Linked DNA regions of Mytilus edulis. The main gene of each other region encodes a partner of the protein of the gene in region 2 in a complex. Links are inferred from orthologs where the notes say so. Each region holds a gene or a part of one and is shown on either strand. Other genes may lie near its edges.

Evidence for each region.
Region 1: smad nuclear-interacting protein 1-like (region 2) and RING-type E3 ubiquitin-protein ligase PPIL2-like share a complex: the UniProt entries of both Homo sapiens proteins name them as parts of the minor spliceosome. The link is inferred for Mytilus edulis from reciprocal best matches to the Homo sapiens genes SNIP1 and PPIL2.
Region 3: smad nuclear-interacting protein 1-like (region 2) and spliceosome-associated protein CWC27 homolog share a complex: the UniProt entries of both Homo sapiens proteins name them as parts of the minor spliceosome. The link is inferred for Mytilus edulis from reciprocal best matches to the Homo sapiens genes SNIP1 and CWC27.
Region 4: smad nuclear-interacting protein 1-like (region 2) and pre-mRNA-splicing factor ATP-dependent RNA helicase DHX16-like share a complex: the UniProt entries of both Homo sapiens proteins name them as parts of the minor spliceosome. The link is inferred for Mytilus edulis from reciprocal best matches to the Homo sapiens genes SNIP1 and DHX16.

The regions. Positions count from the first base shown.
Region 1 is NC_092349.1:71,243,602-71,250,901, reverse strand, and holds the start of RING-type E3 ubiquitin-protein ligase PPIL2-like, read right to left. Parts: upstream 3,024-7,300; 5' UTR 2,981-3,023; coding exon 1,427-2,980; 3' UTR 1-1,426. UniProt on the Homo sapiens protein: Has a ubiquitin-protein ligase activity acting as an E3 ubiquitin protein ligase or as an ubiquitin-ubiquitin ligase promoting elongation of ubiquitin chains on substrates.
Region 2 is NC_092353.1:19,625,982-19,633,677, reverse strand, and holds the start of smad nuclear-interacting protein 1-like, read left to right. Parts: upstream 1-4,696; 5' UTR 4,697-4,799; coding exon 4,800-4,874; intron 4,875-7,696. UniProt on the Homo sapiens protein: Required for pre-mRNA splicing as component of the spliceosome. As a component of the minor spliceosome, involved in the splicing of U12-type introns in pre-mRNAs. Down-regulates NF-kappa-B signaling by competing with RELA for CREBBP/EP300 binding.
Region 3 is NC_092344.1:100,219,331-100,227,131, reverse strand, and holds the start of spliceosome-associated protein CWC27 homolog, read right to left. Parts: upstream 3,004-7,801; 5' UTR 2,917-3,003; coding exon 2,875-2,916; intron 1-2,874. Other genes in the region: protein SREK1IP1-like, read left to right, coding at 3,234-3,240, 4,651-4,716, 7,169-7,303. UniProt on the Homo sapiens protein: As part of the spliceosome, plays a role in pre-mRNA splicing. Probable inactive PPIase with no peptidyl-prolyl cis-trans isomerase activity. As a component of the minor spliceosome, involved in the splicing of U12-type introns in pre-mRNAs.
Region 4 is NC_092345.1:3,144,934-3,151,795, forward strand, and holds the start of pre-mRNA-splicing factor ATP-dependent RNA helicase DHX16-like, read left to right. Parts: upstream 1-3,858; 5' UTR 3,859-3,991; coding exon 3,992-4,189; intron 4,190-5,654; coding exon 5,655-5,789; intron 5,790-6,248; coding exon 6,249-6,328; intron 6,329-6,862. UniProt on the Homo sapiens protein: Required for pre-mRNA splicing as a component of the spliceosome. Contributes to pre-mRNA splicing after spliceosome formation and prior to the first transesterification reaction.

The DNA.
Region 1 (7,300 bases), on a different chromosome or scaffold from region 2:
GACAAATTTTAAATAATAAATGGAAATGCATCAAAAATATACATTTATAAAACAAATATACATCACTCTTTCACCTCAAATAATGGCAATGATACAATCACTTAGACACAAAATTCAAGTTTTTCAATCAACAATCACTGAATGATTTTTTTTTATTTTGTCATGTTTATATATTATTTAATTAAGGATTTAAAATAATTGTAAAAAATATGCATATAGAAATTACAAATGGATAGTATACATGGTATATACATGTATGCATTTATGGTGCAATTTTTTCTTTTACATTAACATAACCAGAAAACTTATTTTTTATGACTTTAACAATAGAAGTATGTAATATATATCTATTTGATTACAGAAAAATTCCCATGGCACACTGTTAAAGTTAATATAATCTTGATAATAAAAAGGGATCAATAATTAGTAAATCAAATTACAAAAATAACTGTCATTTAGTTGAAAATTCACCAAATGTGCATTTGAAGATGAACGGGAACGTTATGGTTATCACGTTACACGTAAATCACTGATATTTAAAAATCTTTAAATATGTTAAAATAATTGCTAATGAAATCAAATATTAATTTAAGTCATGCCTCTGGAATTTGTGGATATTTGATTTTGTGGTTTTGCCAATCTCTGTATACAAAGCCTATTCAGATATGTGTTGTTCATTGAACATTTGAATTCGTAGTTCATCTCTACCCATGAAAATTGCTATACAATGAATAATAATGAATCCAAAGTTGTTTTTTTAATAAAGAAATACTAAAATTTAGATGAGCATGCATACATTACATGTATATATGGCAATGAAAAAATTAAAATACATGTTACATGAACAAAATTGTATGTGCTATTCATGCCATTAAAACTTGTATCTGATTTATAATAATAATCAACATTTTACTTTAGTTTAATTGCATTTTGTATTTTAAAGCCCCCACTTTTTTTATTTCAAAATGCAGAATGGCAGAATTAGAACGTTAGTTAATATTGATAAAATTAAAGTTTTTAAGATTGTATCATCATCATCATCATGATGTTTATTGAACATGTTGAATTTGAGTCTTCAACATGTAATTTTCTTTTTATTATAGTTTCTACTTTTATGACTTTTGGATTACTTGCCTCAGATCAACTTAAAATTACAAAATTATATCTGAGAAAGGGGAATTGAACAGTTCAGATGTCATCTATGACATGTACATTTGTATGATTTACATGTCATGCATGTATTAATCATGTTAATGGCATAATGATAAAATATCTTTATGTGACAAAATATCTTCATATTTTTATGAAACTTGGTATACATGTACATACAATGTACATTGTAATTTCATTTTCACCTGGTAACTTTCAGCATGAACATGATGAATAAGGTTAAAATTAGTCAATTATAACATACATGTTTATATTTTCACCAGTTACTAAAGTTCCCTAATTTCCCTGGTACAAATTTAGCTTTCTTTTTTTCAGTCTCTGATTGCTCATCGCCTCCTGATCTTTTCAAACTAGTTTCACTTCCAGTCGAATTAATGTACTTTCCAACACCAGATTTGTAAACCGTAGGAGTACCCTCAGCTGCAACCTTCCTCTTCCTTTCTTTTTCTAGCTTTTCCTTTTCTTCTTTTGCCTTCTGAAGATCTTCTTCTCTTTCTTTTTGAAGTTGTTCATCTGCTTCTTCATATGGATCTACAAACACTGCACAGTCTTCGATTATTATGTCTTCCTTTGGCCTATCTTTCTTGTCTGTCTCAATGAGTTCTACAGCATCTAGTGAACCTATTCCACCTACAACTCTACCAAATACTGAGTGTTTACCATCTAAATGATGAGCTGACCTGAAAGTGATGAAGAACTGAGATTTGTTTGTGTTTGGTCCAGAGTTTGCCATACTTAAAACTCCTCGGCCGGTGTGTTGTAAATTTGGTTTAAATTCATCTTTGAAAGTTCCACCCCATATTGATTCCCCGCCAAGGCCTGTACCAGTAGGGTCTCCTCCTTGTAGTACAAAATTTCTTATTGAGCGATGAAACTTTGAACCTTTGTAGTACTTATTTTTACAATGCTTCAGAAAGTTCTCACATGTTTTTGGGACCATATCACAATAAAGTTCAATATTCAGTGGACCATAATTAGTGTCAAGTTTGACGTATCCTTTCTTTTTCACTCTTTCATAACGCAGTATATCTTCATCAATAAGAGCAGTTTCATGTTCTGTGACGGGATTCATTGCTGTTGAGGTAAATGATGCTGCAACTTGACCAGTAGAATAATGAGCTGCATTGAACTTATCTGCTTTGGCCATTGAAGCTTCCTCCTTTACTGGAGCTTTGTAAGTTTTTTCAAGCTCATCAAGGACAGATTGAGTCATGGTGCTTGCAGATCTGATCTTTGACTTTGAATCAGCTTTGTCTTCATTTGTAACCTTTAAATTATGTTTAAAATGGTAAAAATTGGCAAAATTGCATTTTTCCACATCTGTGGGGTCCTGAATGTTTATGATGTCAGCCTTTGAAAACGGCTCGTCAGATAAAAGGTCTTTCAAGTGATTTGGCTTGAGATTAAGTTTAGCCACTGCGTTTTTGCTAAACACGTTACCTGTTGTTTTAATAGCCACGATGCTAGAGTTCTGATTAAAAACCTGAAACGTAACTGGGCAGTGAAATTTATCATCTTTGTTTTTATAAAAGTTCAAATGGATCAGATCTTTTGCTGTCATCTTTTCTCCGTTTACCGGATTCACGCCGTACTTTTTCAGAAACGGAACAATGTTCATGATATCGAAAATGACGCCGTCTTTGGTACATAGTGGATCTTGAAAAGGTTGGAACGATAAGCTACAACAGTAGAAAGGTAAACGTCTAAATTCTGCAGATTTCTGAAGCTGACCTTTATATCCTCCGAATTCTGTTCTCCATTCAGTAGATGTAAGATACAACTTATCTTTCTGATGTTGTTTTTTGCCCATTTTGCTTGGTCGGAAGTTACTGTATCATGATAAAGAAAAGAGTGCACTGACGGGAAGGGAATGCGCGAAGTTCCGATACCCACATTAACTGGCCACCCGCTGATTGATACTTCGACAGATTGAAACAACAGCAGGGGTCCAGTTTAATACCCACATAGTCGGAAGCAAGACAACTCGCCTCCTGTAAAATCGTCCCAAGTCGCCCCATTTTTTTCACCAGGTCGTCCCACTTTATAGATAGTCGCCCACTTATGAAAAAGTATTTCCCGTTAAATATACTCCTTCCAACTCTCCCCATTTTATAAATCAAGATATAAAATGATAAAGGTCCGCCAACTCGCTACTGTAACGTAACGGTACCCAAATTGCACCGAGTACCCAAATTGCACCTATTTAGCTAAAATAGCAGCGGACATCTAACAAGATTTCCTAGAGACTAAACAGTAAACATTTTGTATTTTTATGATTTGATACTATGCACATCTTTCGACATAGGTAAATATATTTAGATATGCACAAAACGTTCACAACAGTATTTATCAATAGATGAAGTGTTTACTGAAAAAGCAAAATGAACTGAAACGTCGCCATGCCGTCATCAAAACGTCATCTTTTTAAAATGATGAAATACAATATGTTACAAGTATCCATTTAAAAAAAATGAAATTAAGCATGGACTAATATCCAATTGTTTAAAATATTTGAAGAAATTAAACAAAAGCTCTGTTATTATTAGACTTTTGACGATGCGAATTTAAGCATAGATGCAATTTGGGTACACTTCTCATTTCAGAATCATTGATGGTTTGGAGGTCAGTTTAGACCCTTTTTTCTAATATATGATTCAATATGAATTAAACATCAAATTGGTGTTCCAATATAATAAAGAAGGATACGGCTAGAAATTAAACACAGAATGGACATTTTTGTCTTTATCATAAAAAAACGTAGATGAAAAAACTGTCAAAAGAGGTGTAATTTGGATACCGTCACGTTACACTTAAAATGAAAACTTATATATCCAGAATAAACAAAAAACAAACGAAATTTAATATGATATTTTTTTTTTATTGAAATGATGTACTTTTGTCAGTTTCACTTCTTAAAATATAATTGCAGATACATTATTTATGACATTTATTATTATATAATTTACCTATTTATTGGAGATGGAGAATAACTTTATTCTTGCAAGCTAAATTATTTGCAAAATAATTGCAAAAAAAAAATCTATTCATTGTATCATAATCCGATATATTTGCATAACAATTTAAAGTGAAATAGTGAAATAATCACTGATTCTCTTTTAGCAGCCAGTATGGTTCAATTTTGTCAAAATAAGATAAGAAAAATAGATGGTGAATTCTTCACTTGCAATAATTCGACCTCATTGAATCCGTAGAAATGAATAACGCATGCACTGTCCGTGTTCAGTTATTTAAAGGAAATGAATGTCAACATTGAAAGTGAAATAAAGATGAATTAGTTAATTATATGGCGTCCAGACTAAAAAAAAACAAGAAAGTATGCTAATATCTTATATACATTAGTAGATATATAAATATTTACAAGATATCAGTCGAGCTTATTAAGAATTTGTTTAACAGACTATCTTTTATAAAATTGAAAATGGAAATGGGGAATGTGCCAAAGAGACAACAACCCAACCATCGAAAAAAACAACAGCAGAAGGTCACCAACAGGTCTTCATTGTAGCGAGAAATTTCCGCACCCGGAGCCGTCCTTCAGCTGGCCCCTAAACAAATATATAGTAGTTCAGTGATAATGAACGCCATACTAATTTCCAAATTATACACAAGAAACTAAAATTAAAATAATACGAGACTAACAAAGGCCAGAGGCTCCTGACTTGGGACAGGCTCAAAAAATGCGGTGGGGTTAAACATGTTATGAGATCTCAACCCTCCCCTATACCTCTAGCCAATGTAGAAAAGTAAACGCATAACAATACGCACATTAAAATTCAGTTCAAGAGAAGTCCGAGTCTGATGTCAGAAGATGTAACCAAAGAAAAAATAAACAAAATGACAATAATACATAAATAACAACAGACTACTAGCAGTTAACTGACATGCCAGCTCCAGACTTCAATTAAACTGACTGAAAGATTATGATTTCATCATATGAACATCAGGCACAAATTAATCCTTCCCGTTAGGGGTTTAGTATCATACCATCATAACATATATGAGAAGAATATAACCCGTGTCATGCCAACAACTGGTTTTTGAATAAATGTGTTTAGTTCCGATGCAAAGACCCTATAAGTGAATCAATATTAACGCCAAAATATGCAATCTTTATAATGACCTGACAACAGTATCGTAACTATATCCCTTCTTAATAAGTCTATTCAAAGATTTTGTTAGTTTTTGAGGTGAATACTGACACCTTTGTGCTTTATAAAGAATATTTCCATAAAAAATTGGATGTGAAATACCTGAACGTATAAGAAGTCTGCATGTTGAGCTATATTTAAGAATTGAATGCTCTTTTTTGTAAATTTATTGGGGTGTAAAAGCGTTAACCGAAGTACATTTTGTATGAAGCGCGGAAGTATTCAAGATATCTTATATACTTTTACAAGATATCTGATTATCCCGTTAAGATGATATCTTGAAATTAAATAAACAGTGATAAATTCAAATTAATTTAAAAAAAAGTACTTTTAAAAAATACCTCGCAGTATAATGCGGAAAACAATCATCACTGGTAGGATTTTCGATTCTTTATTTTATTGTACGCTACTGTTACCCTAGCGAAAAAGCCAAAAAATAAGGAAAGAGAACATCAGTGGATAGAAAAGAAACCAGTATTTCGAGGAAATATTCTCGATTTTCATGCAAGAGGAGTAAGACTGCTTAAACAATTTGTCATAATCACAAAGGTTAAGTAACTTAAAGAATACCTTTTATTGTATAAATAGACACGAATATGTCATAATTAGAACCTGAAGTAATACTTTCACAATGCCGCATCTCTATTTATTTGTTTCAACTTTCACTTTATCCTAAAGTCATAATGAAACCTCAAATCAGGAACATATATATATAATATGAGGCAGGCATTACCTGTGAATACACCTTATCGCTAATCCCGGCTGACCCGGCCACTTGAACTTTTGACGCATACAACAATCACTTCCATTGTGGCGTCAGATATTTTGTTTTATGACGTCAAAATTTTACGGGAACCTGTGTGATTTCCAGTAATGACGGACAAATAGCGATAAGGTGTATGGGGACAGAGTCTGTATGAATTATTTTTTTTTGTAACTTACATATTTGTTAAAAAAAAGAAACGGAAATACTGCATTACTGTAACGTTTCCGATTTTGGTTCTGTTGTTAGGGATTTTACTTGTGACGTTATTTAAGTTATGAGGTCATGTTCAATGTAAACAAAGAAAGGCAATGCATCAGGTAATGTTAATTCATATCAAAGACAAAGAATTATTTAAAATGAATTCTAATATGACGTGCTTCTTTAGCTTTGTAAAGAAACCGTATACTTTATTATCCAATAAAATTAGTTTACACATGCGTATATTGACTACGGCAGAAAAATAAATTTCGTCAAATTGGTATGCATTTAATGTATTTCCTTAAATTAAAGCACTTTCAAACACTAAAATGATACACATTTTGTTACTAATACTTTTCCAATAACAACAATGTGTTACAATTCGTAATTGTCATAGTTGACCTAGAAACCACAACGTTCATGTTGGCTGTTCTAACTTCAAAACCCCTCCCTCGTTTCATCTCTCCTGTTAAAAAGGCATGTCATTGTATATAATAATTTCATTGAAACATATGTTCCGACGATAAAATATAAAATAAAGTATAGGTTATTATTACTGTTGTACTGAAATGACAAAATTGTTTCATATTTCTGATAAAATGGATTGACCCTAGCAGGGAATCGAACCCCATTCTCCTATAAAAAGAAATAGGCGTAATTACCAATATACCACCAAGGTTTCCAATCCATTTCACAAATGCAACAAGATTGTCACCCAGTATTAATTTAAATCATCATGTTATACAGCATTTGAAACCGTCAGATGCACAAAGGGCACCAACTTTACAAGGTGTAGCCACCGCAAGTATAAATGGAGATCTGTCAAACTGAAAGGGCCCCTCCTGCCAAGTCTCGAATGTCAGCAAAACTTTATCAAGGAATCCTCTATCAGATATGAACATATTTACCAATGCTACAATATCAACCGGCGGAATATTTACGATTAATTTAGTAAATAAAGACCTACCCGATTCTCCTTGTGCAGTGGCGGATCCAG
Region 2 (7,696 bases):
ATTCCCATAAAATGAATTTATTAACAGTCCGAAATAGACTTGCTCGTCAGGAATCAACCCTTGGTAAAATCCAGTGAGTATATATATATTTTTTCCCAAAATGTAAATCAAAGAACTATTATAATTCTTAACGAATTTGGGAATTTAATCCACCACATTATTTTGTTGATATTCGATCTAGTGAGATTCATGTTCGATTATGGATTTTACATGTAGCAACATGCTCTGACAAAATGGTAATAGAGTAACTTTATTTTGGTAAATGGTTACCCGAGCTTTTTTAACGTAAATTAAATTGATGTATTAGAATTGCGGTCAAGTTAAGGACAATTGTAATTTTACCGGGAATGAAATTATTGAACATTTTTTAAAAATTTGTGAAAATTGAGTTACATTTTGTACTTTATTGGTGTTTTCCTATGTGCTCTTTATGATTCTTTATTGTCAAATTAATACATATATATATTAGTACTGTTTGTGTTATAGTCGCCATCATGTAAAATTAGACCCAGGTTTTTTATTAAATATTTTAAACTATCAATCCCGTTCATTCGATACGGTTTTAACTTAACGGAACATAATATGTAAACAAAAAATATATTGTCCTATCTTATTGTGTAAAATCGCTTACACATTAATCAAAAGTGAAAAACATCAGCTCGAATGATGGCGTTTGATAGTTAAAAAATATTTGATCAAGAAACTTGGTCCAATTTTGCATGACGTCATCTATAGTTGCATTTAAAAAAAATCGCATAATAATCAAATGGAATAATTGAAAACTCTGATTGAACTTTTACAGAGAACAACTCGAACTGATTATACAATTACAAAAAGGAGGTGCCAATCAACGTGATTCCTCGCTGTCTGATATTTTACGTGAAGTCGTTGAAGACGTCCAGCCTATCAAAAAATCAATGGGAACCAATCAAAGCTAGGAATTCTAGGTGACAAGATACAATAAGTATCCTTGTTTTCAGAACTACATAGCAGATGAAACGCCTTACTTAGTATTTGGTTGAACACGTTCAGCTTATCGAAGATACAAAGGGAAACAAAAAAGCTAGGAATTCTAGGCTACAAAATTCAATTTGTATCCTTGTTTTCAGAACTACATAGCAGATGAAACGCCTGACTTAGTATTTGTTGGAAAATTGTTTTCTCTGGGAACAGACTGTACACCTTGAAAACTGTTTACATTTATCTTATATATATTGACACATGTATTTTTATTTTTGTCTTAATAGGAATGTGTGAATACTGTTTTAGATAATAACTAATGCAGTTTGTTTGGAACATATGCCTATAAGTATGTGACCGTGACTAAGAAAATAGGTCCAGATGGGAGTGGAATTATGCATATATTGTTTTTTAAAACATTGAACGGCATTAATGTGTGTGTTTTTTTAAATTTGAAAGATGTTTTTGTGCTCTTTTGTTAAATATTTATTTGTTTTGAGATTGTGACACAGTGATGACTGCTGTATCCATGTTTTGACTCTTTTACATATTGTGTATGTTTTGTTCTCGCATCGTTGTAAATTAAATGTGATGCGACTGTCAAACAAGTGAAAGGTTAAGCGCTATAAAACCAGGTTCAATCCACCATTTTCTACATTTGCAAATGCCTGTACCAAGTCAGGATTATGACAGTTGTTGTCCATTCATTGATGTGTTTTATCGTTTGATTTTGCCATTTGATTATAGGGACTTTCCGAATTTTCCTTGGAGTTCAGTATTATGTGATTTTACTTTTTTTATACATATTTTCATTTTTTTTTCAACCCTTTGTCAATACTATTAATGTGCTTACTAGGAATACAAACGTTATGATGATATTTCAACTGGTTTCGAACATGTTCATATTTGGCATGTATTTGCGTACGATAATACATAATCAGAAAAATACGGAAATTCAAACAAAATTCTGATTAATTGTTTTCTTTGGAAAATTGGAATGTTGTAAATGTGTTCCACCTCAATATTGTATATTTGAGTACTCAAGGATTGAATATCTATATTGATGACAAGAATCCATTTTTTGAGGAATATTTATATTTGTATGTGGTTTCCATGGAAACAAAACAATAAATATTCTAGATTTTTGTTTTCATATTCTCTAATTTTTACATCAATTTTATGTGTTGTTTTTGGTGGTATTGTACTGTCTTCGTATCATTTTTTGTTTGTTTATCACATTGATATTTTGATTTTAAGTGTCTTGTTTTAAGTTTTGGTAGGTTTTAAATGAGTTGCTTTTTGTTATCGTATGTTTTGAATGATTTATATGGTACATAAAAAAATGTATCAAGACTTCCATCGGTTTTTCCCCAAATTAGATGAAATAAAAACGTGAAGTTAGTGGCATTGTTATTGAAAATGTATGCAGTACTCTGTACCAAATACAGAATATACTAGTCCTCTGATATTTGGTCAATTTATCAACAACTCACAATGTTTTGACGTTGTTAGTGACATTCGCCTTGATAATTTAACAAGTAAGGCCCGTTTCAGCTGTTTTTACAGCTTGTTCTGATGGTGTACTGTTTCACAACAGTCTCGTGTTAAAGAAGGATTTATCGCATAGAAACATGTTTAACTCCATCATATTCTAATAAATAAACTCATCATAGATACCAGTATTGAAATTTTAAGTTAATTTATAATTATGAACATATCAATGATTATCATAACTCAAGTCAACACAGAAGTTTGACTACTGGGCTGGTGATACCCTCGGGGAATTAAAACTCCACAAGCAGTGGCATCGACGCAGTGGATGTAAATAAACTATTCATAGATACTAGGGTCGAAATTTTATATTTACGCAAGACGCGCGTTTCGTCTACAAAAGACTCATCAGTGACGCTCGAATCTAAAAATGTTAAAAAAGCCAAATAAAGTACGAAGTTGAAGAGCATTGTGGACCAAAAAAAATCTAACAGTTTGGCCAAATACAGCTTAGGTAATCTATTCCTGAGGTAGAAACGCCTGTACCTGTCTTTAGTTAGTGTCGATAATTCGATCAGTTGTTGTCCTTGATTGAATAAACCACAAAACAAATCATTTTCAATAAAATTAAGTCATCATGAAAACATTGTTATCATGGAGTTATACTTGCGATTCGACTAATGGCAATCATACCACATCTTCTTTTTTATAAGGTAGGAGAAAGGTCTTAAATATATATTATATTACTCCGTATATCCATCACTGTTTGACTGTTTATTTTTGTGTGTGTTCTAAATGAGAATGTAACCTGGCCAATTAAACCTTGTGAACACAGGGCTTCTCGTGTATTCTTTCGTGGGTGTACTAAGTTAATTATATTCACGAAATATGTGATTCGTGTCTTCAAACTAAAAAAAAAAGCATGAACAGATGGTACTGTACTATGACCTATACTGTTCATATGCTTTATTTTAATGTACATCCTGCCTGGTGCAATTCACAATTGTACGATTATTTTCAGATGATTGTTTGTTTTGTCACAAAATACCACAACGCGCTACATGAAAACCTAGAGGGCATTCAGAAAGTGTCCAGCTCGATCCATTACAGATAACTTTTTTTTAAAAGGTAATACCCTAGTTCTTACTGAAAACGAAATTAACCTTGTTTAAAACAGAATGCAACTGATAATACCGTTTTGGAATTATCTTTGTAGTTTTTTTTTTAATATGAATTGGATTTCGAATAAAATGGCATATTGGCCCATGTACACGTGGACTGAGAAAAGAGGTATTCGCCACTGAACGTAATGTGCTTTTATTTGAATAATAATAGTAAAATGATTGATGGATATATGCTGCCCGGCTTTAGGAGTCAGACCACCAATGTACGACATACAATTTAGAACGTATGTAAAAGACCATGCTCTGACAAAAAGTAGTGTTTTTTATTTCCTTAAACTAACCATCAAATCTGCAGAAACGATTATTTTGGTGAGAGAAAAATATATTTAGACCATTTCATCCAAAATTTACTTGTCAATGAGTTTGCATTTAAGTTAAGGATTAATGAGCTCAATAGTATACTAATGTAATATTTCCAGAAAAAAACAGGTGTTAATACTTTTAGTAGTGCTTATCTTCCGATATGCAATTTTTTCTTGAAAGACTTGAAACATGGGATGAAAACTGGCATATGTAGAAAGGTGATACAGTGTACAATTCAGGATACATGTACCTGGTTTCTATGAAGTTAAACTTAAGTTGAAATATTCGGCAGAAAACTATGAAAATCGAAAAACTTGGTTAACAGATAGGGATTTTGAATTGGCGGTTACTGTATCAATGGTGTCGCAAATGATGAAATTGTGCCGGCTCGCCTTTAGTGTCGGAGGTTGCGGATCGGATAAAGCACATACAAATCCGCTTGAATCTCCATGTAATAGTTACCGCTGTACGTTAACTAAGCCCCATTCATGGTAAACTACCTTAGTGCTTTTTGTCATACATTTTTTGGGGGATGTTTTTTTTTTTTGCTTGTGGGTGTTTGTGGATTTTTCCCGTTTTCAAATTAGAACTTGAAAATTTAAGAGAAATTTCAAAATCGACTTCTAGTACCCCTGCCCAAATAAAGGAAAGAAAATGACAGGTCCTTAAGTAAATGGACCACTTTATAATAGTCACAGGCTAAATCACTGATACCTAAATTGATAATGCGGATTATCTACGTGTCTTAGTCGATACCTGTTTCTATTTTTAGAAAACTTGAACAGGTGTCGCTGTCGTCGTACGTAACTTCCTGTTTATTTTTCTTTCATCGTATTTCAAACGACGATATTAGCTAAAGTTATGGCCAAAGATGATGAGACAAAAGCGAAAAAGAAGCATAAGAAACAACGACATCGTTCCTCTAGTCCGGAGAAAGTAATCAGCTTAAAATCTTTTATTTGTATAGACACAGTCAACGGTGAACCCTACTGAGTAATGTAAATTATTTGGTGTTGACCATATGATCCTGAAAATTGTTTTTCCATATTTAATAACCTATTAAGGAATATGCAATATGAAGAAACATAGACATTCCTTAATATATATTTCCATGATATGCAGCAATTGACCTGTTAGAGATCACCAAGTCTCTATAAATTATTATTTGAACAGGTTAGACACCATGAACACAGGTCAGGAAAAGTGGGGTATTCCCTGTTTTGCTTCCATGACAATCCGGCAACACATCGATCCGGCCTACCTCAGTGTATCCGCACATCTAAGACTTATGACCACTTCATTCAACTGATAAAACCAATAATTAGATAATATTGTGTGAACAAAATCATAACATACTTTTATTTCATAAAATCATCTGTTTGTATGGTTTCATCATTCAGGAATCCGGGTCCGTCCGCCCTGATTTCGGTTCGCCCTAATTACAGTTCGCCCTAGTTCCGTTTCGCCCTGAGACCGTTCGCCCTGATACCTGTTCGCCCTGGGTATGTTCGCCCTGATTTTTATTTTTTATTATAGTGTTGTGTTGTGTGTATTTAATTGAATATGTTGAAGTCAGTCTACAATTTCGCCGAATATTTACGATTTTTATTTTTAGTATAGTGTTGTGTTGTGTGTATTTAATTAAATATGTTGAAGTCGGTCTACAATTTCGCCGAATATTTACGATGTATTATGTTGTCTACAGCTAGCTGCTACTAGGCTATAAGTTCATGCCTAACAATTTGTACATCAGTGTTTTTACCCATCCAAGCCGACTATTTTATTTGAGAAAATGTTATTTTCATTATCAATCCATCAAAGGCAATTCATATACCAATCAGTGATACCAAAGATTTCAAATCATACATGTACCTAATCAGCAATAAAATTCAATCAACAGTAATTAAAAGTAATTATAAAATAAAGTGTAACAATGCAGCCAAGAATTTTATTTAATTAATATGCTGTATTTAACTGTTTATAGATATACATAAATTTTAATATATATAAATATATATTTCTTTCATTAATGTAACATATACATATCATAAATGAAAATAGGGCGAACGAACCCAGGGCGAACGGATTACCAGGGCGAACAAACTCAGTGCGAACGAACCTAGGGCGAACATGTAATCAGGGCGAACGATCCCGATACCATCATTCAGTGTTCCAGCTACAAATGTAGCATGAAATGGAGGGGCGCCCCGCCCCCGAAATTTTGCGCCCCTCTGCCTTTTTTAAGCGCCCCTGCGCCCCATTGTGCCCTTTTGAAAAAAGTTTAAAAAACGATCTTTTTTCCTCATATCGTCGCCATTTTCTTGAGTTCTTTATGCACACACACTTCATTAAGACAACAGATTAAAATTGTTGACACTTGTTACCTGTATATAATCACCTATTTGATTGGAGTCAATTACTTAATCAGGTGAAATTTACGACCCTGTCTAATCCCTTTGCCCTGAAGCACCAAACATCGAAGTTAAATGAATTGATTATTTTAACACCTGACGATGCAAAATAGAATTTATAAAATAAATGTGAACGGTGTTCATTTCTAATGTATTTGTTATTTATAAAATAACGTTCATTTAAAAAGAATCATTCCAATAGGTCAACACGCAAAATGCCGACGAAAAAAAGAAAAATTGACCAACTCGGAAATGACAAGAAGAAAATATCAAAGACTTGGCTGCCAGTCTATTACATCTTTTTTCAAGAATAATGACCATCAAGAGTAAAAAATAATTTAATTCTTTACCTTTATGAAAAATCGAGCAGAAGAAAGGTTTCTATCAAATATCACAATTGTTCTTCTATTGTAAATTCAGTCGATTACGGAGCACCCAAAAGTCAGAATTTTATATCATTTTGTCTTAAATTGAAATCCGTTTTGACTAACTTTAATATTGATATTATTAAATACGCTCAACATGAAGTAAACGGAGATGCTTGTTGAATTGATAATAAACTAACAAAATTGAAATAATTTTATTTTATTGTGCCGATTGCGGAGCTCTCGAAAGTCCGATTTTTGTATCAATTTTCTTATTGAAATCACAGGCACTTGTTTTTATCCATTGGAAGACCCCCTATCAACGTATATTTCCGTAAATATACATTGATAGGGGGTATTCCAATATGAATAGAAACAAGTGCCTGTGATTGAAATCCGGTTTGACAAACTTATTGATTTTATTAGATACGCTCAACATGAAATATACGGAGATGCTTGTTGAATTGAACAGACAACAGTGAAACTATGTATGGTTATACAGAGAAAGAAGCTCTGGCAAATACATTTGACATGGACCCTGAAACTCTCCTTTTTCAATAACAGGACTTTATAGCTCTTGTGTCATCAGCAGAACTTACAGATCGTTCCTTATCTAGTCTGCTAGAGCTACAGTACAGCCTGTGACTTCCTCTTAGTTATGTCCACCCTCTTGCATGGTCAACATCCAATGGTGAACATTTATTGGGGTATTCAATCTTGAGATGTTGGCCATTTATTGGGGGTCATAAATCATGGGCAGATTTTTTATCTAATTATGTTACCTGTTAAAATCAATCAGGGTTGAAGTTTTCAGCTGGTATGTTTCATTAAAATTTACCTGTACAGGTGACTTGGGTTTTTATTAAAATTGACATTTCACCTTTTTTTGAAAATGTAGAATAAAATATTGTTTTACTCTGTTAATTTATTATAATTTTTTTGTCTTTAATGTTATTTAAATTTTTTATTTTTTAATTGTTTT
Region 3 (7,801 bases), on a different chromosome or scaffold from region 2:
TACAAATAGATTTAACATAATACAGATGGTCATGTTCATGTGAATCAAGTTGAAACAGATTAAACATTGAGACTCTCAACTAGGCAAGCTTTTCTACATTGTTTGAACATAAAATTATATGAGGCTTCACATACAAGTACATGTACATGTAATATAGTCTAATAACCTTCTTTTTTATATCTACTTATCTCAAAGAACAAGGTTTGTGCTCCTTCTTTTATCACAATTCTTAGATGAGATATACTTCTGATTAAACCTAATTTCATTAACTAATGTTTTCTTTTTCTCAGCTACATTATATTCACTAGCTCAAGTAGTTATGCGCTAAGTAACAGATGAAAATATATTTTCAATACTTGAATGGAATGGAAAAGTTTTATTATAAAACATATGATATGTGCATAAACTTTCTTGTAAATGAACATCCTAATCTTCATACATGTACATGTCATAGCTAACTGCTATTTATTTATTGTCGTGTTCCAATACTCAAATTTGATTACAGCTTTTCTGTATGGAGTGACCTTAACCATGAGCCGTTTATATTAACTTCTACAACCAATGAGCACAAGTGTGATGGAAAAACCTGCACTGACAGAAATCGTTTATTGCATGATATCATTATAATGTCATTAATGATTGTTCAAGTGTACCAAGTTGTTTATTCAATAATGAAAAAGTATTTTCAATTCTTTTTACACTAGAGACATTTTTATCTTGTTGTTGTTCAAATGAAACAAGTCAAAGGTATTTGCTGTTAGAAATCAAATTTTTCCAGGAAAAAGAACCTCTTATTATGCTATCAGGTAGGATAATTAGAAATAAATATTAACAAATAGAATATCTCCATTTTGAAGATCATGTATTGGTACATTCTAAAATTTTGAATTAATGAGAACCGATTTAAAAACAAAAGTTGGAATATGCTACAGGTGTCGCCACTCTTAAAAAAATATTTGTAAATTTGAATCTGTCCAAAGAAAGACCACTTAACTCGTCAAGAACATAAATCATTTAAGTTTTGAAGATAGGTTACGTTCATTGAGCTTATTTACTTAATCACCATCTTATTATAATGTTACAAAATGTATACGAAAGGTCACTCCTTAAAAAACTTTTTAAGAAACATTGTAAGACAACACATACTGACATAGACTAAATACTTTTTCAATTAGAGTAGTGGATCAGTGGAATAACCGGTCTGATTTAACAGTGACGGCAAAGACCTTGAATAATTTTAAGTCAGTTAAATGGCAAAAATTGGAACCTGTATCAATTTATATGTTCCTGTCAATTGTTAACCCTCTTACTGCCAGTTGTTTTTCAAGGTTGCATTTCATGTGCCAGAAAATACGACCGCTGGATGTTTGTGACCTCAGATGTCCAAACACGACGTCATCTGATACAAAATGTATATGACATCACGACAAGATGACCGTTACATTCAGGTCCCATTGAAATTTGAAGACAAATATAACCTTGTCAAATATTTGATCTTTTATTTGAAAAAGATACAACAATGAGGAGAAGCTTGCATAAATTAAAACATGGACACCTAAATAAATTTTATTTTTTTTATAATACATGTATATATAAAACCTGCCAAGTCTCACGCATGTGTGTGCTTTTTTTTTTGGCATTTTCTTTTGATCTACATGTATTGTTTTTTCTCTTTGATCTTTTCAATTTTGACAAAATCTTACACATTTGCTTCACGAAAAGTTGGCAGAACTGTAAAACTATTCTAATTTTTCTCCTTGTCATTATGCAATTATTATACAATGAGAAATTGCATTATGACCATGATGACAAAATTTTTAAAAACTTTAAAAGGCAACCAGAGGAAGCAAGTAAATATCTTGGAGTAACCATCAGTAACAACCTAACATGGGATAAACACATAGACAATACAGTAGGCAAAGGAAACAGAACTTTGGGGTTTATACGTAGAAACCTCAAAGGCTGTACAAAACCTGTAAAGGCAGCTGCATATGTGTCCATGGTAAGACCTGCAGTGGAATATGCAAGCACAGTATGGGACCCAACCGCTCAAAATAAAATCAAGGCAATTGAACAGGTTCAGAAAAGAGCTGCACGAATTTGTGAATAACAACTACACAGACCGAACACCTGGCTGTGTCACAAATATGGTTAAAAATCTAAAGTGGGAAAGCCTCGAAGAACGGAGGAAAACAAATAGATTGTGCATGCTATTCAAGATCCAGCATGAACTTATAGATATAGACCGTCACAAATATTTGACACCGAATGATAACCGGACCAGAGGTAAAAACCGCTTCTTCCAAGAAAGAACAAGTACAGACACCTACGGCCAATCTTTCTTCCCGAGGACAATCAGGGACTGGAACAACCTACCAACGACAGTTACAGCGACCAACACCGTTGAGGGATTCAGAGCTGCCCTGAAGGCATGCTCTGAAAGGAAGTAGGAAAACCAGTTGTAAATAATTTTAATTGTATATTTTTCTGCGAACGTTTTAAATGTAATTTGTAAATAGCCAAGAGAAATCTTTCTGTGTTGCCCGACACTGCGTAAAGTTTTCGTGCGGAACCATTAACATTCAGCAATGAATCTGGTTCCTTACCTGGAAGAAGAAGAAGAACCTCAATCAAGCATGCACCAGAATGTAATCTTCAAAATGTTGATGGTTTTCTGTAACTAAAGAAGAAGGAGAAGAAGAAGAAGACATTCCAAGATGAGGTGTCAGTAAAATTCATTGGCTTAAAATATACAGATAGAAAGATAGTAAAACAGCTGTTGTTATTGATATTGTCAACTGTCTGCTGGAGTTATAATATAGCAAGACTGTTTACTTTTTTTTTAAACAGCAAAGTAAAACACTAATTTTCTACCTTTCCGCTCGTAGGCGGTTCTTGTATATAAATATTGCTCATAGCCTGTCAAACAAAAACAAACTAGACCATTAATTTGAAATGTCAATGGGCGCAGCCATTTTGTTTAGGTCTAACTAAAAGATAAAATAGTAAATGATGTATTTGTATAATAAACTAAGAATTTCATATTCAAATTCATAATATTCATTATATTTGATTATTTATGGGATTTTTTAAACAGAATGTAATTTCGTAATAATCATGGAAAGTTAATGTTGATTTTCTTTTAGTTTTGACTTGAATGATACCAGATTATCTCCCTTAGGTACCTAACCAAAAAATTTAGACCATTCCGCAGTTTTACGATTTATGACACAATGCAAGGTAAACAAAGAAAGACAAATTTGATACAACTTGTTCATGACAGGAATCAAATAATAAACTGGATTGAATCATTTTTGTCAAACAGAACACAAACAAAAACAGTAGTCAGTACTTTTAGAAAGAGTCATCTTTAAAAATTATACCAGTCACATGATCAGGTGTCACACTGGGTACAGTGCTAGGACCAATACTATTCTAATTTACATAAACGACCTCCCAAAATACATCCAACATAGTAAAATCCGACTCTTCGCAGATGACAGTAATAATGAGTATATGAATAGGTAGTGTATGTACGTACCTGCATGTGAGGTATGCGTAGCCAAATTGGCCTTTGTAGGCTACGGCTACGCACACCCGCCTCCAGTTTTATAATTTAATGTCATCGGATCAGGAATAAATTGTAAAATTAACTCAGAAAACATCGCAATAAGTGAGAGAATAAATTGATTACTCACAGAGATTTTAAGATTTGAAATGTCAATATATATGAAAAAAAAAGTTCTACGCCTATTATTATTTTACGACGTACCGTGATACACTTTCGTAAAAATATGCATTTATATTTGATTTCTATTTTTCTAACTAATACATTAAAAACAATTTAAAAAATATTATTTGCTATTATCTTCACAGAATTCACAAAATCAGAAAAATAACCAATAATTTTTGTGTATCTTTCACGTTGCTTTCCCAATCATATGACACTTTCTTATAAAATCGGTTGCGGGTACACATAGCCTAAAAAGGCCAATTTGGCTAAGTGTATCCGTATGCAGGTACTCGCAGACAGGCGCAGACACTGCCATATATAAATAAAACATTGGACGATAGAGCAGATTGGGATACAACTAAAAGTTAAATCAGCACCCACAGAAAAAGTCAAATTGGCACCTTGTTAAATCGACATCTGGTTAAAAATAGGCACCCATTTAAAGTCAATTTGGCATCCAATGACAGATTGTTACCAAAGAATACAGTGTCAATCACTACCAAGCCAAGATTGACAATGCTTTTTTGAGGGTTACCAATCTGCTCTATCATCCTCTCACTATGTGTTACATGTATTTAATTTATTATGCTTAAGTTAATGTCCTATCATTATTGTCTAACAGATGAATTTTATTTAAAAGTATTTTCTAATCCATGAGGTCACATACATTATAACAACTTTGCGGGTATTTGAAAAATCATCAAAAGTGAAGCAAGATATTTTTTTTTTATTATAAAATAATGATATAATCTATCGACAAATAAAATCTCTATTAACATGTTGAAAGAAGTCCCTTCGGGTTTTCAATAATAAATAGCAGGCAAGATATTCCAATCTTTTAGGTCTTATTATTTGATTTTAATCTTTGACTGACATGACTGATGCCTTATCAACATTATTTTTTTTAAAACTTTTAGGCATAGGCAGCAAATACACCAATAAAAATGATGGACTTAAACCAGCCTGTAAAAAATGTGGATATGGTATGTATAGCAGATTGTATTGTATTTAATACTGAAGAGTCTTTATATGGGATACCAAATTTTATGGAATTTGTGGGTAAATGCAAGGATTTGTAAACTAATCCTTGGTATTGGTAAAACAAACTTTTTCATGTTTAACAAAGTACAAATATTCTAAAGGCTTGTAATAAGACATTGCAAAAACCTTGAAATCAAATACCACTATATATTATTTTTACTATAGTATCAACAAAAATAAATAAATTCACAGTATTCAGCTGTGTACCATTTAACAGCATAGGCAAGTTACTATATCTTTTAAAACTTCATGATAATCATGAAATAATGTAGTTTGTTTATTGCTATATACATTCCTCACTTGCATGATCTTTGTTTTTAATTTGTCACACTGCTCCCACTTGCGACATCTCAATTCACAAGTCTTTAATTGACAATGTGGATTGTTCTGGTTTATTTTTTATGCCCCACCTACGATAGTAGAGGGGCATTATGTTTTCTGGTCTGTGTGTCCGTCCGTCTGTCCCGCTTCAGGTTAAAGTTTTTGGTCAAGGTAGTTTTTGATGAAGTTTAAGTCCAATCGACTTCAAACTTAGTACACATGTCCCCTATGATATGATCTTTCTAATTTTAATGCCAAATTAGAGTTTTTACCCCAATTTCACGGTCCACTGAACATGGAAAATGATAGTGCGAGTGGGGCTTTCGTGGACTGAGGACACATTCTTGTTTTAAAATATTCAGGCATTATTTAATTTTTATTAAAATTGAATGATTTTTTTTTTATCTAAATAACTGTCTACTTACTTCTATTGAGCTATTATATAGAAAAAATAGTTAATTGAGCAGTTGAGACATTATAGCATTCTTATTTCCGTATCATAAGACGTGCAGTGTAATGGAAATCTTTTACCAGCCATGACTATTTCATTCCTATTCCTTTAAGTATAATTATGTTTTCTTTTTATGCCTCAACCGTAGGCAACATGGGCATTAATTGTTACCCTTGACTATCCCTCTGTCCATCTGTCAGTCCTTTTGTCTGACCCATTTTTGTTTTACCACTCTTGGTTATGTTTTCCTCATCCAAACTTTCTGAAAGTCATACATGGTGCTAAAAACCAAAAGTGGCAGACAGAGATCAAATTTGATCACAGAGTCATTTACAGTTAGTTATGCCCTTTTATAAGTATAACTTGGAAATGCAAGTCTGTTCATGTTCGCACTCTAACTTAAGTTTGCCTCATCCAAATTTTAAGAAAATCATTGGTAGTCCAGTCAATCTAGCATACATAAGTTTTAATCTTTAGCATTATACCCCAAATATACACAGAAAAAAGTCCTATAAAATATAACTTGTGGAAAACTAAAAAATCATGATTTTAAAATTCCTATGGAGATTTGCGTTCATATGGGAGATAACTCTGCAAAAATGCAGAAATATCAATAAAGATTGATAAAAAGTTATAACTTTACCGCTTCTATTCAACAGAATGTATTGATTCTTGATATTTGAGTCATCTTTAGAGTATAACAAAGAACTCTTAAGGTATTATCATATCTTTTATCAAGCTAGAACCTAGACTTCATAATTAAATAGTTGACCATTTATTAGATTTTTCAGCATGTTAAGGTAAAGAATCTCAAATTGAATAATAAAACTAATTAAGCATATATTCCTCTTTTTGTGGTTTAAAGTTTCTATGAACAAGGTAGATGCTGAACAAATATAATTTACAGATAGAAATAATACCAAATATTCATTTTTTCAAAATGGTCACTAGGCCATAAATTTGCAATTTTTTTAATGAAAATGTGCAAAAAGAATTAAAAAAATATGCATAGCACTTCGGTTTTGTACATTTCATGAGCAGAAGATTATATAATATAGTCAAATACGAAGTTATAACTCCATCAAAGTATCATATATTACATGAATTTTAAGAAAATCAAACAAAAACTGACATAAAAGTCTCATTTTTGCTGAGTTATCTCCCTTTCCAATGTTAATTTCTATAAGAAATTAAAAATGCAAAATTTGAGTTTTCCTCAAATTAGATTTTATGGGACTTCTTTCTGTATATATTTGGGGCTAAATGCTATAGATTAGAATTAAAGCATTTTCTGTTGCAATTAGTTTGAGGTTCAAACTTAGTTTGACTGGACTAAAGGTATTGCTGATCATTGCTGAAAACCACAACACGCAGAGTTTAAATTCTGGCAATATTTCATTAACCTTTCTAGAGTTATACCCCTTTATACTTTGGAAAATTGTAAATATTTTAATTTACTCACTCTAGGTAAGTTTTTATTTAACATGCAGACTAAGTTCTAATTTGGGCAGTGAGTCATTAAACGTTTTGATAATTGAAAATTGCAAAGCTTGAGCAAGGGCATTCATGTCCTTAGAATGCTTAGACAAAATTTCTTATTTTATTTTCATTATGTTTTTTAGCTGGACATCTAACATTTCAGTGTCGTAACTTTGTGAAGGCAGATCCTGGTAAAGATATTGTTTTAGATGTCAGTAGTACTAGCTCAGATTCCTCAGAAGATGATTTTATTTCACCACTCAGTCAGTTTCAACAAGGTTTGTTCATCTGTTTATTTTTTGTCACTGAGTTATATTTTGAGGAGATCTTGTCGCTAATGCATTGTAATACATGTATATGATCAGCTATAACTCATTTATTTATAACTTAATGGCATTCAATTATAAAAGTTTAATAACAAATCTATTGAGTTAGTGAACAATAAGGAGTGTATGACATGTACATGTATGAGGTGTTTAAAGTTTTTTACCAGACAAAATTTGTCACTCAGATCTAGATTTACAGTTACATATACATTATCTCAGTTTAAATTGTGTTCTTATTTTCAATTATTTGATGTCTGTTACAAAATGTATTTAATTGGATATAATGAATCAGCTTTGATTAACTCTGAAATGCTGTATCAGTTCAAGCTTTCCCAGGTAACCATGTTATTATATTATTTAGTTATCATTTATGGGAAGTTAACTGACTTACAATTATATGAAAGATAGATCCATGTGGTTTTTATACGACCGCAAAAATTTTAATTTTTT
Region 4 (6,862 bases), on a different chromosome or scaffold from region 2:
ATTATATGCTCACCACTGGGCTTCCATACTGATTGTTCTTCTTGTGTTATTTTTAGAATGAACTTTTTCCACGAAAATAGGTGACGTACATGTACTTGGCATCATATGCCAATTTGTGTACACTAGAAATGTAGGTCATATCAAATAAACTAGCTAACGGAAAGAATCAAACTAATTTATTATTTTAATGAAGTTCTAAGGTAACATTATCAACAAAAAGTTTAACCGCATTTTGTTTGAATAGTTTAACCGCATTTTGTTTGAATAGCCTTATGTCCACGAATATAGGTGACACTAGGCCTACCGTCAGTAAATATTTCAAAGCAATTTTCTGTAATTGTCATGAGGAAAACAAAGGATTTCAATGTTGTGATGTCGTAAGAGACAAAATAAATTAGCCTTTCAAGACGTCAAAAAAATTTTTAAAGGCCGAATTTTAAACTGCGGAAAAGGGGGACACATTTATCCTACTGACAAGTACTGAAGTAGACTTTGTCGCTCTGTTGAGTGATGACCGAGGAATTGTTTAAAAATTCAACTTATATTTTACAAAAATTCACACTCACAGCAAGTTATTCATTGGTCATTTCAAGGATGACAACATTCACTGTAGACTAATTTCTATTTTCAATATATATACTAACCAGTCACCATGCGCGAGCTCTTTTCACAATTTAAGGAATGTCTGACTACCAACTGAAATGTTGTAAAAAATATTGTACACTTTCTTTCGGCGAATTTATATTTAAGGAAAAAAAATGTGTTTGAATATAACTATAGTCTCATTTAGGTTTAAATGGCATATTACATTTAATCAAATCCAAATTATTTTAATTTCTGAATGTTGGAAAAATAAATCAAACCCACCTTAAAATTCGGTACCTCGAATTACCGAATAACAGTGTTATTATCCGAATAACTCATGTAATTACCGAATAACTCTTCAAATATCAATATTAACACATTTGAGTGACTTTTAAGCATATATTATTGAATAAAATTATAATAGAAGTGTATTTTATAACCTAAAAATAAAAAAAAAGTTGCAGGTAAGTTAATATTGATCATTATAAAATTATGGATATCGGTGTGTACTTCCAAGATGGCGACCAAGGAAAACGTAAGAAATGAAGAAAAGAAAGATTGCATATATGCCTTCAAAGGAAAACGCTATGAAAATATAGTATTAAATAATTTACTGTATATACAGAGAATTGTCTAATAATTGTTTTTCAGAAAGGATTTGAAAATTTAACCAGTACATCAAAGCAATGCAGTTACTCCAATCACTAATTACTTTTCATAACAATTTACTCAACATTAAATAAAATGTAATTAAGAATTTTCACATATTCAATTCAAATCTAATAAAAAAAATTATTATAATTGATTGTTTTAATAAAAACAAAGCTTCTGAATGGATGATTTTTATGTTTATTCTAATAAAATTTTCTCAAAACTAAATATAAGATTTTCATTGGCAAATATAAATGTTTTTACAAGTCACTTTAATTTTGTATAAAAAGCCATGAATACATGTGTGCTGTCTTCCATTTTCAAAATGGCTTTATATCCGTGTGTTCAATGTGATGAAGAATGTGTTGATTGCACCATTCAATGCAGTTGTTGTGATCGTTGGGTTCACAGTGCTTGTGTCCCAATGGATGATGCATTGTTATTGGCCTGGTCAGATGTGTCTCTAAAGTTCCTTTGTAAGGACTGTTGCTTTACAGACAACAAGTATGACATGGCCAAGGCGTTAGAAAGGTAAGTAATTTTCATACATACCTTTTATTATAAGCTATACAAATGCGAAATTGGGTTTTTTATATTATTAATAGAGAGTGAAACATGGTACAAGAAAAATAAAATAAAATATTTAATTTCAAAGAAGACAACCTTTCACCTAGTTTATTATATTTCATTTATTTCTTATTTCATTTAAAATGTATTTAATTTACTTAATTTAAATTACTAAAAAATCAGAATTAAAAATAATAAAATAATACTCAATTAATATTCTTCTAAAATTAGTATTTACGTTTTTTTTATTGCTACTTTTATTTATTTTCATACATTGAATAATTTGAAAGTGATAATGAGTTAATTAGTTCCAATAAACAAAATAATCATTACCTCACACTTCTGTTAGATTGTTAATTGGGTTGTTGTTTACTGACACGTGCCCATTACATAATTAATCATTAAGAGATAATGAAATTATATTACAGTATGGACACTCTGCATTAAACAGGCTTGTGACTGTCTTGGTATACCAAGGCTGCATTACCAACACCAATAATTATAATAATGAAAAATAGAACACAAATAAATATTTACAACTATATACAATATGTACATCCTATGTTAGTTTTCTGTCAAAGGGTAATAATGTTCAATGTTTCACCAATAATTTTTGATTATTTAAAATAAAAAATTATTAAAAAAAGATATTTTAATAAAGTTAATTTGGGTTTTCCTGTTAAAAAAAGCTTTCTTCTGGCAAATTCGAATTTGTAAATTATAAAATATGTAAGAACTTTTGGATTATTTTAGTCATTCGATGTTAAAAAAAACCCTCTTCTTAAACAAAATACATTGCACGTGGAGTCATTGAGAAAATAGTTCAGTATTGTTTCGCATGTTTTCAGGTTGAAATTCTAAATAAAGTATTTCCGCGGACTATGACAGATAAGCCCGTGCCTTGTGCAGGATATCTTAGTAGTTATAAATTTTTTACAATAAATTCTAAATAAAGTATTTCCGCGGACTATGACAGATAAGCCCGTGCCTTGTGCAGGATATCTTAGTAGTTATAAATTTTTTACAATAAATTCTAAATAAAGTATTTCCGCGGACTATGACAGATAAGCCCGTGCCTTGTGCAGGATATCTTAGTAGTTATAAATTTTTTACAATAAATTCTAAATAAAGTATTTCCGCGGACTATGACAGATAAGCCCGTGCCTTGTGCAGGATATCTTAGTAGTTATAAATTTTTTACAATAAATTCTAAATAAATTATTTCCGCGGACTATGACAGATAAGCCCGTGCCTTGTGCAGGATATCTTAGTAGTTATAAATTTTTTACAATAAATTCTAAATAAAGTATTTCCGCGGACTATGACAGATAAGCCCGTGCCTTGTGCAGGATATCTTAGTAGTTATAATTTTTTTACAATAAATTCTAAATAAATTATTTCCGCGGACTATGACAGATAAGCCCGTGCCTTGTGCAGGATATCTTAGTAGTTATAATTTTTTTACAATTAATTCTAAATAAAGTATTTCCGCGGACTATGACAGATAAGCCCGTGCTTTGTGCAGGATATCTTAATAGTTGTAATTTTATAGATTTAAAGGCTTAGTTAACATCCATTTCTAAATCACAAATATAAAAATATGATAAAGATAATATTTTTTTAATAACTAAAATTAAAACAAAAACTAATTTAAATAGTTTACTATTCCATATTTTATTTTAAAAAATGCCCACCCTCACATTGTTCATTGCCGTGACGTGGCGTGAGGGCTCCACTTTGGTGGTCTAAGATGAACACGTTGAGGGATTGTATGCAATCTTTCTTTTCTTCATTTCTTACGTTTTCCTTGGTCGCCATCTTGGAAGTACACACCGATATCCATAATTTTATAATGATCAATATTAACTTACCTGCAACTTTTTTTTTATTTTTAGGTTATAAAATACACTTCTATTATAATTTTATTCAATAATATATGTTTAAAAGTCACTTAAATGTGTTAATATTGATATTTGAAGAGTTATTCGGTAATTACATGAGTTATTCGGATAATAACACTGTTATTCGGTAATTCGTGTTACCCCCTTAAAATTTGCAGTTACGTCCCTTGTCATGCACAAAACGTCACGAAAACGTGTGGAATCGTTTTCAATATGTCAGCCTCCAGTACAAACAAATAAAGTTCATGATTTCTCATAATATTCATCGAAGACATTCGTAGTTAGCAATGTCATCCCTTGATACATGGGTCAGCGACAAACTGCATGACATCTTAGGAATATCGGACAAATACATCTCACAATATTTGATTGGTTTGTGTAAAAAAGCAACAAGCTCAGATGGATTCATTGATAACCTCAGAGAAACTGAAGCAGTTGACATTAATCCACAAGTTATCCAATTTGCGAAGGAGTTATGGGAAAGGGTAACTTAAATAGTCTTGTAGATAGAATTATTCCAAGGCTTTGTTGGACACCTATAGCATAGGTTTCATTCGAATGTACTTTTTTTTAAAATGCCCCTCTGCGATGCTTTCGAGACAAGACAGCCCCACAGTGACACTTCCATGAATCATGACGTCCATAGGATGCATCGACCATAAAGCAAAACCTACAAATAACACATTGTCCATACTTTTTAGTTTAACTGTAGAGCATGATTCTACAGACTCTAATCTGTAACGGGTTTGCCCCAAATGTTGCCACACACCACAGATTTTCAGGGCTCAAGTCCAGGAGGAGACTATGTGACTTTGCCAACAAAATCATGTTCTCCTGGGTTATAATTGGTGCCCAATTAAAGAATCCCTCTGTCAACATATATTTGTTCCGCCTAGCAGAAGTTCCAATGGAAACTTTGTTATAAACATTGTCATAATATCTATTCCTGTTGGAACAAAGATTCTAAACAATTTATTCCGTTAGGAACATATACTGTGATTTTTATTCTTGTGGAAATAATATTCCAGAATATTTTTTCCTTTTGGAACTTATATTATGCAGGAACTTCTATTCCGTGACACCACAGTAGTTAGATAGAATATTTAGCTAGTATATTTTGTTATAAGAGTCATAATGATATGATGACTCCTGAGGTTTAGAAAGCGTGATTGGACAGCTTCCCTTAATACATATGGCAGATACACTGTAGCTAGTTGCTATAAATAATTCACATTTATATATTATATGCTATATATATATATATAATGTGTATTCTAAGTGAATTGCATATAAAAAACATAACAAATAATGTAAATACAGCATATATAATTTACCATCTACTTGTATATATCACAATACTTTTTAGAATTTAAATAAAATTTATTTGCGAAAAAAAGCTATTGATGGTGTGTCTTATCAAAGTATGGCTCTGTTGTCTTTTCATGGTATGGCTGACACAGCATGGATGTCATGTCTTGCATTGTTGACTCCTTTATCCCAGGACGTTGTTGACCTTATCTTCAAGTATAAATTGAATTTTATTATTGAATAGCGTTTAGTTTTATATATTCAAACAAACAAACAAATAAATATTTTGATTGATATTATTATTCACATATAGGTATTTATGAAGTTTTTGCTGATTAATGATAATCTGAAACAATAATGTGTTTGGATATAAAAAAGATTAATCTTTCACCTGTTTTTTTTTTTAAATGCAATTGCCATTGACATGATTAATGCTGAAATATTATTCTCCAACAGGTCAAGACTTTGTAATATATTACACAAAAAACATGTATCTATTCAAAAATCCTTAAAAAAAACCCAAATACTATGTAGTCTGTGTGTTATTGCTTGGAGTACTATTGTGTATTTAATATATGTAGATATGTTCTACAAAATGTCCAAAGGCGAAAAAAAGGATAAGTTCTTAATCAATATTTTCAGGCACCAAGAAAAGCTGTAACAGAAAAAGTAGGAAGAGTTTTAGAAAGGCAATCATTAGAGCTACAAAAGAAGAACCAGAGTTATAAACTTGTATCGTCTGGAAGTGAGGAGGATGAATATTCTGTCCAGCCAAAGGTAGACAACTCTATCCTAAAAATATATATAGAAAAGGGTGGTGTACATTAAGATTTGAATTAGTTTACAGAATCATGAATACTGTGGATTCATTTATTTTCGTGGGTACCTATTTTCATTGATTAAGAAAAAAATGTATAATTGTGGATATTTAATTTCGTGGTTTTGCCAACGTCTGCATACAAGCCAACAGAAAATTTGTCATTCGTTGAACATTTGATTTCGTGGTTCACCTGTACCAATGAAATCCATGAAAACTTGTATCCAATGAATAATAATGAATCCACAGTAAAAACATTTGGGCAAGCTATGAGACAGCAACTAAACAAACACAAACCAAATGAAATCGACTAGATGTCAACATATGTTTGTTTACAGGTGTAAATACAATATGTTATAATTTTATTACTTTTCAAGCTGAAGTTTGAGCAATGCTAGAAACACATTAATTTCTTTCAGAGACGGAAGGCAGAAAAAAGACAGAAGCATTTACGTAAGAAGCAGGAATCTTCAGATGAAAGTGATGCAAATCCAGATAGGTAGGAGTCTAGTCAAACCAAAAAATTACACTTCCATTCCTAAATGCAAATTTTTAAGCTGATACAGAAAACTAAAAAACAAACATGTACAATTTGTATAAACATTACAAATCAACAGTATACACTTTTTTTCTGGCTATGGGTATGAGAACAATAAACTTGCTATTAACTTGTAAATAAGTGTTTTATTATGCAGACAATTTTTTAGCACATAAATGATGCTTTTATTGCTGTTCTGTCATTTGGAAAAAGCTATAAAGTTCTCAAACAACAAATCCCCCTCTCGAATCAATCTGCCTTTAAATTGAAGAAAAATGTAAGATATTTCAAGCAGCAACTAAACACAAATACATATACAAGCCTTCAATAATTAGCAGAAACCATGCCCAGTCCTTCAACAGAAAACTATTTTTTGTAAAATTTTTGTAATTTTTTTTAATGGGGTTATTATTACCTTCAAGATGGTTTTAATAACATTAGGAAGGCTGCGTAAATGTCTTTTTGTGTCATTTGTTTCAAAAATCAAAGTTAAAA